Linked DNA regions of Rattus norvegicus. The protein of the gene in region 2 interacts with the protein of the main gene of each other region in a biochemical or structural test. Links are inferred from orthologs where the notes say so. Each region holds a gene or a part of one and is shown on either strand. Other genes may lie near its edges.

Region 1 (4,708 bases), on a different chromosome or scaffold from region 2:
ATGCGTGGGATAAGGGAGACCAGGTCTGAGGGTATCCACCGAAGCTGCATGGGAGCGGCCAAGCAGGGAAGTTTTCTGGAAGGAGGCAAATTCTCTCAGGGCCCTAGATGGTGGTGGGAACTCTGCCCTGAAATCTTAACCCAAGAGGAGGTAACAGGAGGATTCTCCCATATAAATAGCAAACATTGATCAAGATGGTGCAGAGTGGAGGGGCAGCGAAAAGCTTGTGCAAAGGTCCTGGGGTGAGGAAAGTTAGAGCAATGCATCATGGGCAGCGGTTCCTGCCCCAGAGGTCACAACATGGTGGACAACTCTCCCTCTCCCAACCCGCCACTCCCAGCTGTGGTGCTGTGAGCAAAACGCTGTCCCTCTCTGAGCCTCAGTTCCCCTCAGGAGAGGAAACGGCCTTATCTGCTTCCTGGAAGATGTGGGTGAAGACCTACTGGGTGTTGTGTAAAGTTCTAGGTTCCTGTACACGCGAGCCCAAGAGCAGTGGTGTCCAACTGGCCGTCCGAAAGTTCTCACATCATGATCCTGTCCAATCCCACGCCACGTCCAGTAGCTTCCTCGCTAATGTCACCTCCCAGGTCCACACAACTGCTCAGAGACGACGCTCAGGTGGGGCACTGAGGCTCAGAGAGGCAGTGACCTGCTGAATGTCACACAGCAGGGATACAGGGACCAAGAGCTCAATATGGCTCTGAGAGCTGGGAAGCACTCTTGCTACGTCCATCTGACAGGAGAGGAAACTGAGACACAGGAACACAAGGGACCCCTGATGTTGGGCTGCAGTGCAGCCTGAGCCTGAAGGACTGCTGTGTCATCGGCCAATCTCACTGACCAACTGCCTCCTGCCACAGGGCCTTGGCACCTGCTACTCCAGTGTTCTGGTCACTGTCACATGACTGGCTCCTTAGTTACCGGCCTATCCCTCCCCGCCTCGCTCTCCCCCCCTCCCCCCCCCCCGTTTTCTGTTCCTGGAAACTTAATGCCAATGAGGTGGATCTGTGTGCTGTGCATCCTGTTTGGGAATATTGACTTCTCTGGGTCACCTCCACATCCTCTAAAATCCTGAAAAACTCTAGTCCATAAAGATTTGCCAAATGGGTGAAAGTGCTCAAACCATACCTGCCACCTTCAGGGCCTGTGGGACCCTAGGAAACACTGTTCCTGGGGTTGTGGGGACCTGGGATTCTCCCCTCCAACTCCTTTTAGAAATGAATTCTGAGCCCAGGCAGCAAGTGAAGAAGCCACCCCAGCCACCTCCAGGCAGCCACTGAGCCTGAGCATCTGTCACCGTGGGAGGCTGGGCCCAGGAAACTGACAAGGCTCCCAGCATGCCTTGCAGCCCGTCACTGTCAAACCCACAGCCCGCTGGAATTCCCCCAGAAGGCCCTGGGTGCTGCTCCGGTGGGGACCCAATCTGCGGCCAGAATCCCAGCTCTCCCCACACCAGCTGGGACAGCAACTGGCAATAGGTCAAACTGAGTCAGAAGTGGGCGGGGACTCCTGCCGTCCTCCATCACGTGGGCCTCGGGACAGGTTTATGAAACTTTTGGTTTGTGGTCAGTAAAATGAATTCAGAGAGAAAATACAAAAGGGGGAGGGGGAAGACGCTGCCCTGCAGTCCCAGAACTGGGGAGACTGAGGCAGGGCGTGTCCCAGATCACAGCAGCCTGAGCCCCAACGTGAAACCGTGCTTCAAACAGCAGTGCACACTGTGCATACGCGATCACACAGCGTGCACACACTTCTGTTGCCTTCAACACAGTGCTCACACTGCTTGCCTCCCACACAATGTGTATATACTTCCGGCTTTTACACGGTGCGCACACACTCCTGCTTGCCTTGCACACAGTGTGTATACACTCCCGGTTTTTACACAGTGTGCACACATAGTCATGCCTGTACATATCGTGCACACACTTCTGTTTACCTCGCACACAGTGTGTATACACTCCCAGCTTTCACACACTGCACACACACCTGCTGGTCTCCCACACAGTGTGCACGCTCACCGCTTGCACACAGTGTGCACACACTCCGGGCTTGCACACCGTTCCTCTTGCACCCGGTGCGCACACACTCGCGGCAGCGCACCTACAGTCGGCGCTCGCCGGGACCGCCCCAACGGCGCGCGCCCTTAGCGGGCCGAACAAACGACTCTCGCGGATCCGCTGCACACTTCACATACCGTGTGCGCGGTGTAGACACTCAGCAGCTGGGGACTTTCTATGACTTCACCGGGCTTTGGGGAGGCGGGTGCCAGCCGGATCCCCTCTCGGGTGGGGCTGACCGGGGTCTTTCAACTCAGCAGCAACCTCCTGCCGCAGCATTCCCGGGGCAGCGCCAGCCTCCCATTCCTCAGAGGAGGCAAACTGAGACCAGAACTGACGGGCCCAAGGTCACACAGCCCTGGCAGAACTAACAACCGGCTCTGTCCGGCCACCGAAGCAAGCTGCGCCCACGCGCAAGTCCAGGTCCCCCCGTCGCTTCCGAGCCCAGGGTCAAGCGCGGGGCGGACCGGCGCTTCCCCCACGCGCGCCCCGCCCGGCCTCTGCGGTCCGGGGAGTGCGGGCTAGCACGGAGGACTCTGGGCAGAGTGCCCAAGCCTGCAGCCGGGGAGCGGGGACACACGGGGAGGCGGCAGGGTGACCCCCGCCTAAGGTCACCGCGGACCGCGCGGCTCCTCCGGGTCCCGCCACTTCCAAACTTTCCTCCCCGCTCATCCCCAGCCGCAGACTTGCGGGTGCACCGCGCGCTCGGCGCTCTCCCGGGCTGCCAGCCCTGGTAGCCGCGCCACCTGCCCGGCTCCGCCCTGGCCCGGGAGAGTCTTGGGTCATGTCGCCTCCCGGGCCACCCTCCCACCAAGGCCGGGGTCCCCGCCAACCCCTCCCGGCGGCGTCGCCCGCACAGCGGCTGGCGGGAACCCATCTGAAGCAGCCGGAGAAAGAGGCACAGAGAGGGCCAGCCACTAGCCCAAGGTCACACAGCGCGGCGGCGCGAAGCGGGGCCATGAAAGCGACGGTCCCCGCCGGCGAAGGTGCCCAGCCACCGTATGGTACTCACAACCGGTCTTGCCCTCGAGCTCCCGCACCTCCTCGGACGCCGAGTGGGCAGCGCCCATGGTGCGCCGCGGGGCCCCGGGCGCCCCACGCAGGACGGGGACTGCCTGGGCTGCGCTGAGCTCGAGCCCGGTGGAGACGCGGGGACAGCGGCACGGAGCCGGTTCCGCGTGGGGCTCGAGCGGCCTCTTATAGCGGCGGGAGGCGGAGCGGCGCGGTCCTAGCGCTCGCCCGCTTCCCTCGCGGCCGCGGGGGCGGGAAGCGGGGGGTGGGGTGGGGGTAGACGACGCAGTTATGCCCCTGCCGCAACCCCACGGGATAAGCTTGCGAGCAGGGAGATCGGCATCCTTCAGTCCATTTTACCGGGTCCAGAGGCGGAGCCCCGGCGACCCGGACAGAGGAAGGGCGTGCGAGTGAGCCTGGTCTGAAAGCCGCGGCCCCGCACGCCCTGCACCCAGGTGGGCGCCCAGAGGAGCGCGCGCCACCGGTGACAGGCGTGGACTGAGTGGAGAAAGTGGGACCCATGGGTCCCGGGGACCCGCTAAGCTCAGAGATAGGCGATCCTGACTGGCCAGTCCTGCTACTGGTCTAACCACCGTTCCTCCATCTCCAAATGGGGCGCGGTGAGATGCTCATGGAAGGGATCACAGGGAGAAAGGCGTCGGGGTACCGTGGGATCCTTTGCAGTTGACGAAGGAGGGGCTGGTGCTCCCAGAGAGAGAAATTCAACTTTAGGGCTGTCGGGCTATGCCCTGCTCTGCTTGGTGACGTCCGGCTTAGCTGCTAAGGGTTTGTCCTGGCTGGAAGTGCCGGGTCCCCAGGATCTTTGACCTCGCTAGTTCTAGTGGTGAGGGCGCCCACATCCTTGGTGCTGGGGTTCTCAGGAGCCCACTCTAGCCAACCCAGGACCTGGGCCCTGGGAGCTCTTGCAGCCCCCGCCCCATCGCTGAAACCCCGATTACCACCCACTCTGGGCCTCCGGGGAGCTGGGTCTGTCCCTGGAGATCCTCCCAGGAGATCGTCCCTGAAGGTCCTCAGTCCTCCCTGCAGCCGCCCAGAGTTTACGGAAACTGTCCCCACTCCCGAGGCAAAGGAAGTGGGGGCTGAGGGGTATTGCTGTTGAGTAGGCTGGACCACCTCAGGGGGATTCCATTTGTGGCTCCAAGAATTCTAAACCCCCAGACAGACCTTTGTTGGGAGGAGGGCAGGAAAGGGCTCCCCAGGTCCCGGGATGTTGGGGTTCCTAAAACTTCCCGCGACCTAAGTTTCGTGTCTGGATCCTGGTTAGGGCTTCTTGTCAAAGAGGATCTCCTCCGTGCTTGATCTTTCTGCCGAGACCCCGTCTTCCTCCGGGATCCAGATCTGTGTAGGCCTGTTTTCACCAGGCTGGGGTGTGGTCGCCAAGGAGAGCCTGCACCTGCACCCCGGGGCTGTGAAGAGTCCTCAGGAAAGACAGTGACGGTTTGACTGGTGCATTTGTTCACTCATTTAGTGTGTGTTTCCTGATGTCCTACTGTGTGCAGGGCCCCGACTAGGTCTTTAAGCTCCAAACGGGGATTAGACACCGCCTTCACGCAGATGGAGTGCGAGAGACCCGAGGGTGGAGTGGTAACAGCCAGGGTGAGCTCTCAGGAGGACCTCAG
Region 2 (4,337 bases):
TATACTCCCTTAAACTTAGTTGGTCCACTGTCCTATGACTAAGTACACATTTACAGAGAATTTTTTTTAAAAAATATTTATTTATTTATTTATTTATTTATTTTTAATATTAATATTTATTTTATGTATGTGAGTACACTGTAGCTGTCTTCAGACACACCAGAAAAGGGCATCAGATCTCATTACAGATGGCTGTGAGCCACCATGTGGTTGCTGGGAATTGAACTCAGGACCTCTGGAAGAGCAGTCAGTGCTCTTAACCACTGAGCCATCTCTCCAGCCCCCGAGAATTTTTAAACTTTTAAACTCATCTTTAGAGGCGTTTTTTTTGTTGTTGTTGTTTTGTGTGTATATCTGTTTACATTGTATGTGAGTATGCACATATATGTTTACATTGTGTGTGGATTTAGGTTTATGTGTTTATAGTGTGTATGTGAGTGTGTGTGTTTACAATGTGTATGTGAGTCTGTGTGTGTTTACAGTTTGTGTGAGCGTGTGTGTTTACAGTGTGTGAGTGTGTGTTTACAGTGTGTGAGTGTGTGTGTTTACAGTGTGTGTGTGCATGTGTGTGTTTACAGTGTGTGTGTGCATGTGTGTGTTTACAGTGTGTGTGTGCGTGTATGTGTGTTTACAGTGTGTGTGCGCGTGTGGGTGTGCTTACTGTGTATGTGTGTGTGTGTGCTTACTGTGTGTGTGTGTGTGTGTGCTTACTCTGTGTGTGTGTGTGTGTGTGTGTGTGTGTGTGTGTGTGTGTGTGCCGGTATCTGAACTGTGGTATCTGAAGCAGCACACACTTTTTTACCCACCAAGCCATCATCCCTGCCCCAGTTTAGAGGTTTTAATCTAAGATTGAATGATTCTCTTGCTCGGGTGTGTGGCATATTGTGGGGGCAGCACACAGCGGAACAAAATGCTTAAATCATGAACCAAAGAGCAAAGACAACAAGGAGAGAGAACCTCGTGGGGCCTTTCTTTCTCCCCTTGAGGGACACACTCCCGGTGACCATAAAGCCTCTCCCAGATCCCACCTCATAGATGCTTGGTCATCCTCCTGGTGTTATTAACCCTTTAAAACTTGAGGAATTAAAAATTTTAAGATCCACAGTGTAGCAGGCCATGTAGTCTCCCCTTCAGGGCCGTGCAGATCTCTGGGTAAGATGCTGTGGGCTTGTCTCTATGCTTTAGATGGTTGCCTGACCTCTGAGGGTACCAGGTTGAAAGGTGGTGACTGTGGCTTTTAGGTTGTCAAAGAAGGAGGCACAAGAGGGGAATTCCTGTCCTGCCCTAGACAGACAGGCTAGTCAGGGCAGACTTCCTGGAAGAGGAGGCAGAAGCACACTTGACCAGCCACACAGTTCGGGGCCTATTTGCTCGTTTGGGGCAATTTCGAAGAATCTGAGTATCAGGGACTGGGAAGGAGGGCAGGACAAGGGGTGCACCTGCCAGCTGCACACTGGTGTTACTGGGAGGCTCTGTGACCTAGGCAGCTTTTCCACACAAGGTGACGTGTGGAATCAGGAACATGTACACAGTTGCTTTGAGTTTTCTTCCTACCCTAAGACCCATGTTTTTCCAACGTGTTGTTAGTGTCTCTGGGAACTTGGTGTTGTGTGGGGACTGTCGTGCTATCCTAGCATTGCCTGGGTCAGACTGAACAGGAGGGCTTTGCCATAGGGAGAAATGTCCTTTTCCACAGGTCTAGGGTATAGTGATGGGGAGGTCTGACCAGGCAGGCCCTGAAGATCGCGGGATGTGTCCCATCTCTGTGTATCAAGTCATGAGGCATGCGCTAAGCTCCAAAGGTCGCCTCAGCCTTGGGCATATGCGATCGATTGGATTCACCAGCTCAGAGCTTGCTTGGTAGGGAGGAAGAGAGAGCACCTTGTCTTGAGCAGAGGGCTCACGACCTTTTGACCAAGATGGCTTTGGGGGACCGAGTACCCAACATGCATTTGGTTGCTCAGGTCTTCACCTGCCTTCCTACTCCAAAGGCAAACCCAAGAGCTCATAGGGAATGTGGGGTTCTGACCTAACCCTGCATCCCTGGAAGCCTGGGTCTGGTACCTCAGCATAGGCCCCAACAGAGAAGGGCCAGCGCTACTTGGGGAAGTGGTTGGTGGATGTCATAGTGCCTCGGTGTGGAGGGAGGCAAGGAGAACTAAAATTTCAGAACTGTGGAGTTTGCTGGGAGCTGGGCTTCAGACCTGGGCTCCTCCTGGTTCCGCTACTGATTTGCTCTGACTTTGGGCAAATGCCTTCACCTTTTCAGCCTCAGTTGCCCCATCTGTAGAATGGATAGAATTGGGCTAAAGGCAGAATGGCAAAGAGATTTCATTTTACTTGCCAAAACTAACTGCCAGCCTTTGATTTCTTGGGATCTTCTGGATCTGCCTGCTGCCCGCGAGTCTGGGGCTGGAGGTTCCTGAATGTGCTCTGCAGGTGTGCAGACCCAGGCCTACTGTCCCCACTTTTCTCCTGGCACTGATGCTGTATGAGTCTCCTATCTCTCTGAGGTCCCCACTTTAACACCATCCGTTGTCAACTCCATGGCACGAGGCGTGCCGCCTTTCCTGAGGCAGGATTGTGTCTCTGTGTGGGACGCAAGTCGGCTCCCTGAGCATGTGCCTGAGAAAGTGCCATGGGTTCAGGGTAGCTCGGTGCCGTAGGTACTTTGATTTCTGTCAGAGGCATGCAGAGCTGCTGCTCTGTGACAGTTTTCCACGGTAACAGGCAGCTGGTGAATACTCTGTGAAAACGTCGGGCCCAAGGTGCCTCAGCAGGTGAAGATGCTTGCCACCAAGCCTGAGGACTTGAGTTCAGTCCCCAGGACCTGGTTGAAGGAAAGAACCAACTCCTACAAGTTGTCCTCTGACATCCACCCATGTGTCATGGTGCATGTATACATGTGCAAACGCATGCACACACGCACACTATAAATTTTTAAAATAATTATTTTATACCACAGCCCTGTGAAGCTGGTATTATCCCTTCCGTTTTACAGGCAAGGAACCCGAGGCCCAGAGAGTTAACAGAGCGGCCTTCTGAGACCAAGCCTGTGCACCTCTCGCCAGCTGCTCTCCTGGTCCCCAGTCCTGTCCCCAACCTTCTGTTCTTCTGGCTCCCCTGAAAAGCCCACGGCCTCCCGTTCTCTCGCCCCTCACAGGTTTCCATGTGATCCCCACCATCTCGAGCATCGTCCCGGAGAGCTGCCTGCTGATCGTAGTGGGGCTGCTGGTGGGGGGCCTGATCAAGGGCGTTGGAGAGACGCCCCCCTTCCTGCAGTCGGACGTCTTCTTCCTCTTCCTGCTGCCACCCATCATCCTGGACGCAGGCTACTTCCTGCCTCTGAGGCAGTTCACGGAGAACCTGGGCACCATCCTGATCTTTGCTGTGGTGGGCACGCTGTGGAATGCTTTCTTCCTGGGTGGCCTCCTGTACGCCGTGTGCCTGGTGGGCGGCGAGCAGATCAATAACATCGGCCTGCTGGACACCCTGCTGTTCGGTAGCATCATCTCCGCGGTGGACCCGGTGGCCGTGCTGGCCGTCTTCGAGGAGATCCACATCAATGAGCTGCTGCACATCCTGGTCTTTGGGGAGTCCCTGCTCAACGATGCCGTCACTGTGGTGAGGGGTCAGGGGCCACAGCACACGCACACGGGGGCAAGCGGTGCCTTATCCTTCCACTAATGATGATAAAGACGGCCAGTGTCCCCCATGCTTGCTGTGTGTTGGGCACTGCTCTGAGCACCGGGACATAGATTTTCTCTCCTAATCTTCAGGACAACCCAAGGAGAGACGAACTTTCTCACCTTACAGAACTAGAAACACCCCACAGAAGTTAGACAGCTTCCTAGAATGTGGTGGGGCCAAGATTGGAGGCAGTGTGCTTGGTTCATTCTGTGGCCCTCCAGGGCCTGAGCCACTGGCCTAGTAGGTCACTTGCTTCCTGACCAGCTTGCATTTGATACTGTGTTGCCCAGTTACTGGCCTTCTTCCCGCCTCAGTTCATAGCCCATTTAGTCTCTGAGGAGCCTTTTAGCTCTTATGTTGGCTGTTTAAGAATTTGGTCTGTGCAGGGTTCTGAGCAAAGGAAATGAAAGGGCTCTGTTCCCCAGACCTCTAGGATGTGGTGAGTGTGAGATTAGTAGGACTGGGTTGACTGCTTGGTTTTCTTGTTTGGTCAGTTTTTTTGAGACAGGGTTTCTCCATGTAACCCTGACTGTCCTAGAACTTCTTCCAGACCAGGCTGGCCTTGAACTCAGAGATCTGCCTGTCTCTGCCTCCTGAGAGCTGGGATTAAAGGCGTGTTCCACCGCCACCTGATTGCCTAGCTGACT

The links.
Region 1: the proteins of Slc9a1 (region 2) and Tesc form a complex in vitro, tested with the Homo sapiens proteins (4 studies listed by BioGRID and IntAct, with this or other methods). The link is inferred for Rattus norvegicus from reciprocal best matches to the Homo sapiens genes SLC9A1 and TESC.

What each region holds. Positions count from the first base shown.
Region 1 is NC_086030.1:44,213,323-44,218,030, forward strand, and holds the start of Tesc (calcineurin B homologous protein 3), read right to left. Parts: upstream 3,219-4,708; 5' UTR 3,128-3,218; coding exon 3,070-3,127; intron 1-3,069. UniProt on the Homo sapiens protein: Functions as an integral cofactor in cell pH regulation by controlling plasma membrane-type Na(+)/H(+) exchange activity. Promotes the maturation, transport, cell surface stability and exchange activity of SLC9A1/NHE1 at the plasma membrane.
Region 2 is NC_086023.1:150,897,823-150,902,159, forward strand, and holds part of Slc9a1 (sodium/hydrogen exchanger 1), read left to right. Parts: intron 1-3,163; coding exon 3,164-3,624; intron 3,625-4,337. UniProt on the Homo sapiens protein: Electroneutral Na(+) /H(+) antiporter that extrudes Na(+) in exchange for external protons driven by the inward sodium ion chemical gradient, protecting cells from acidification that occurs from metabolism.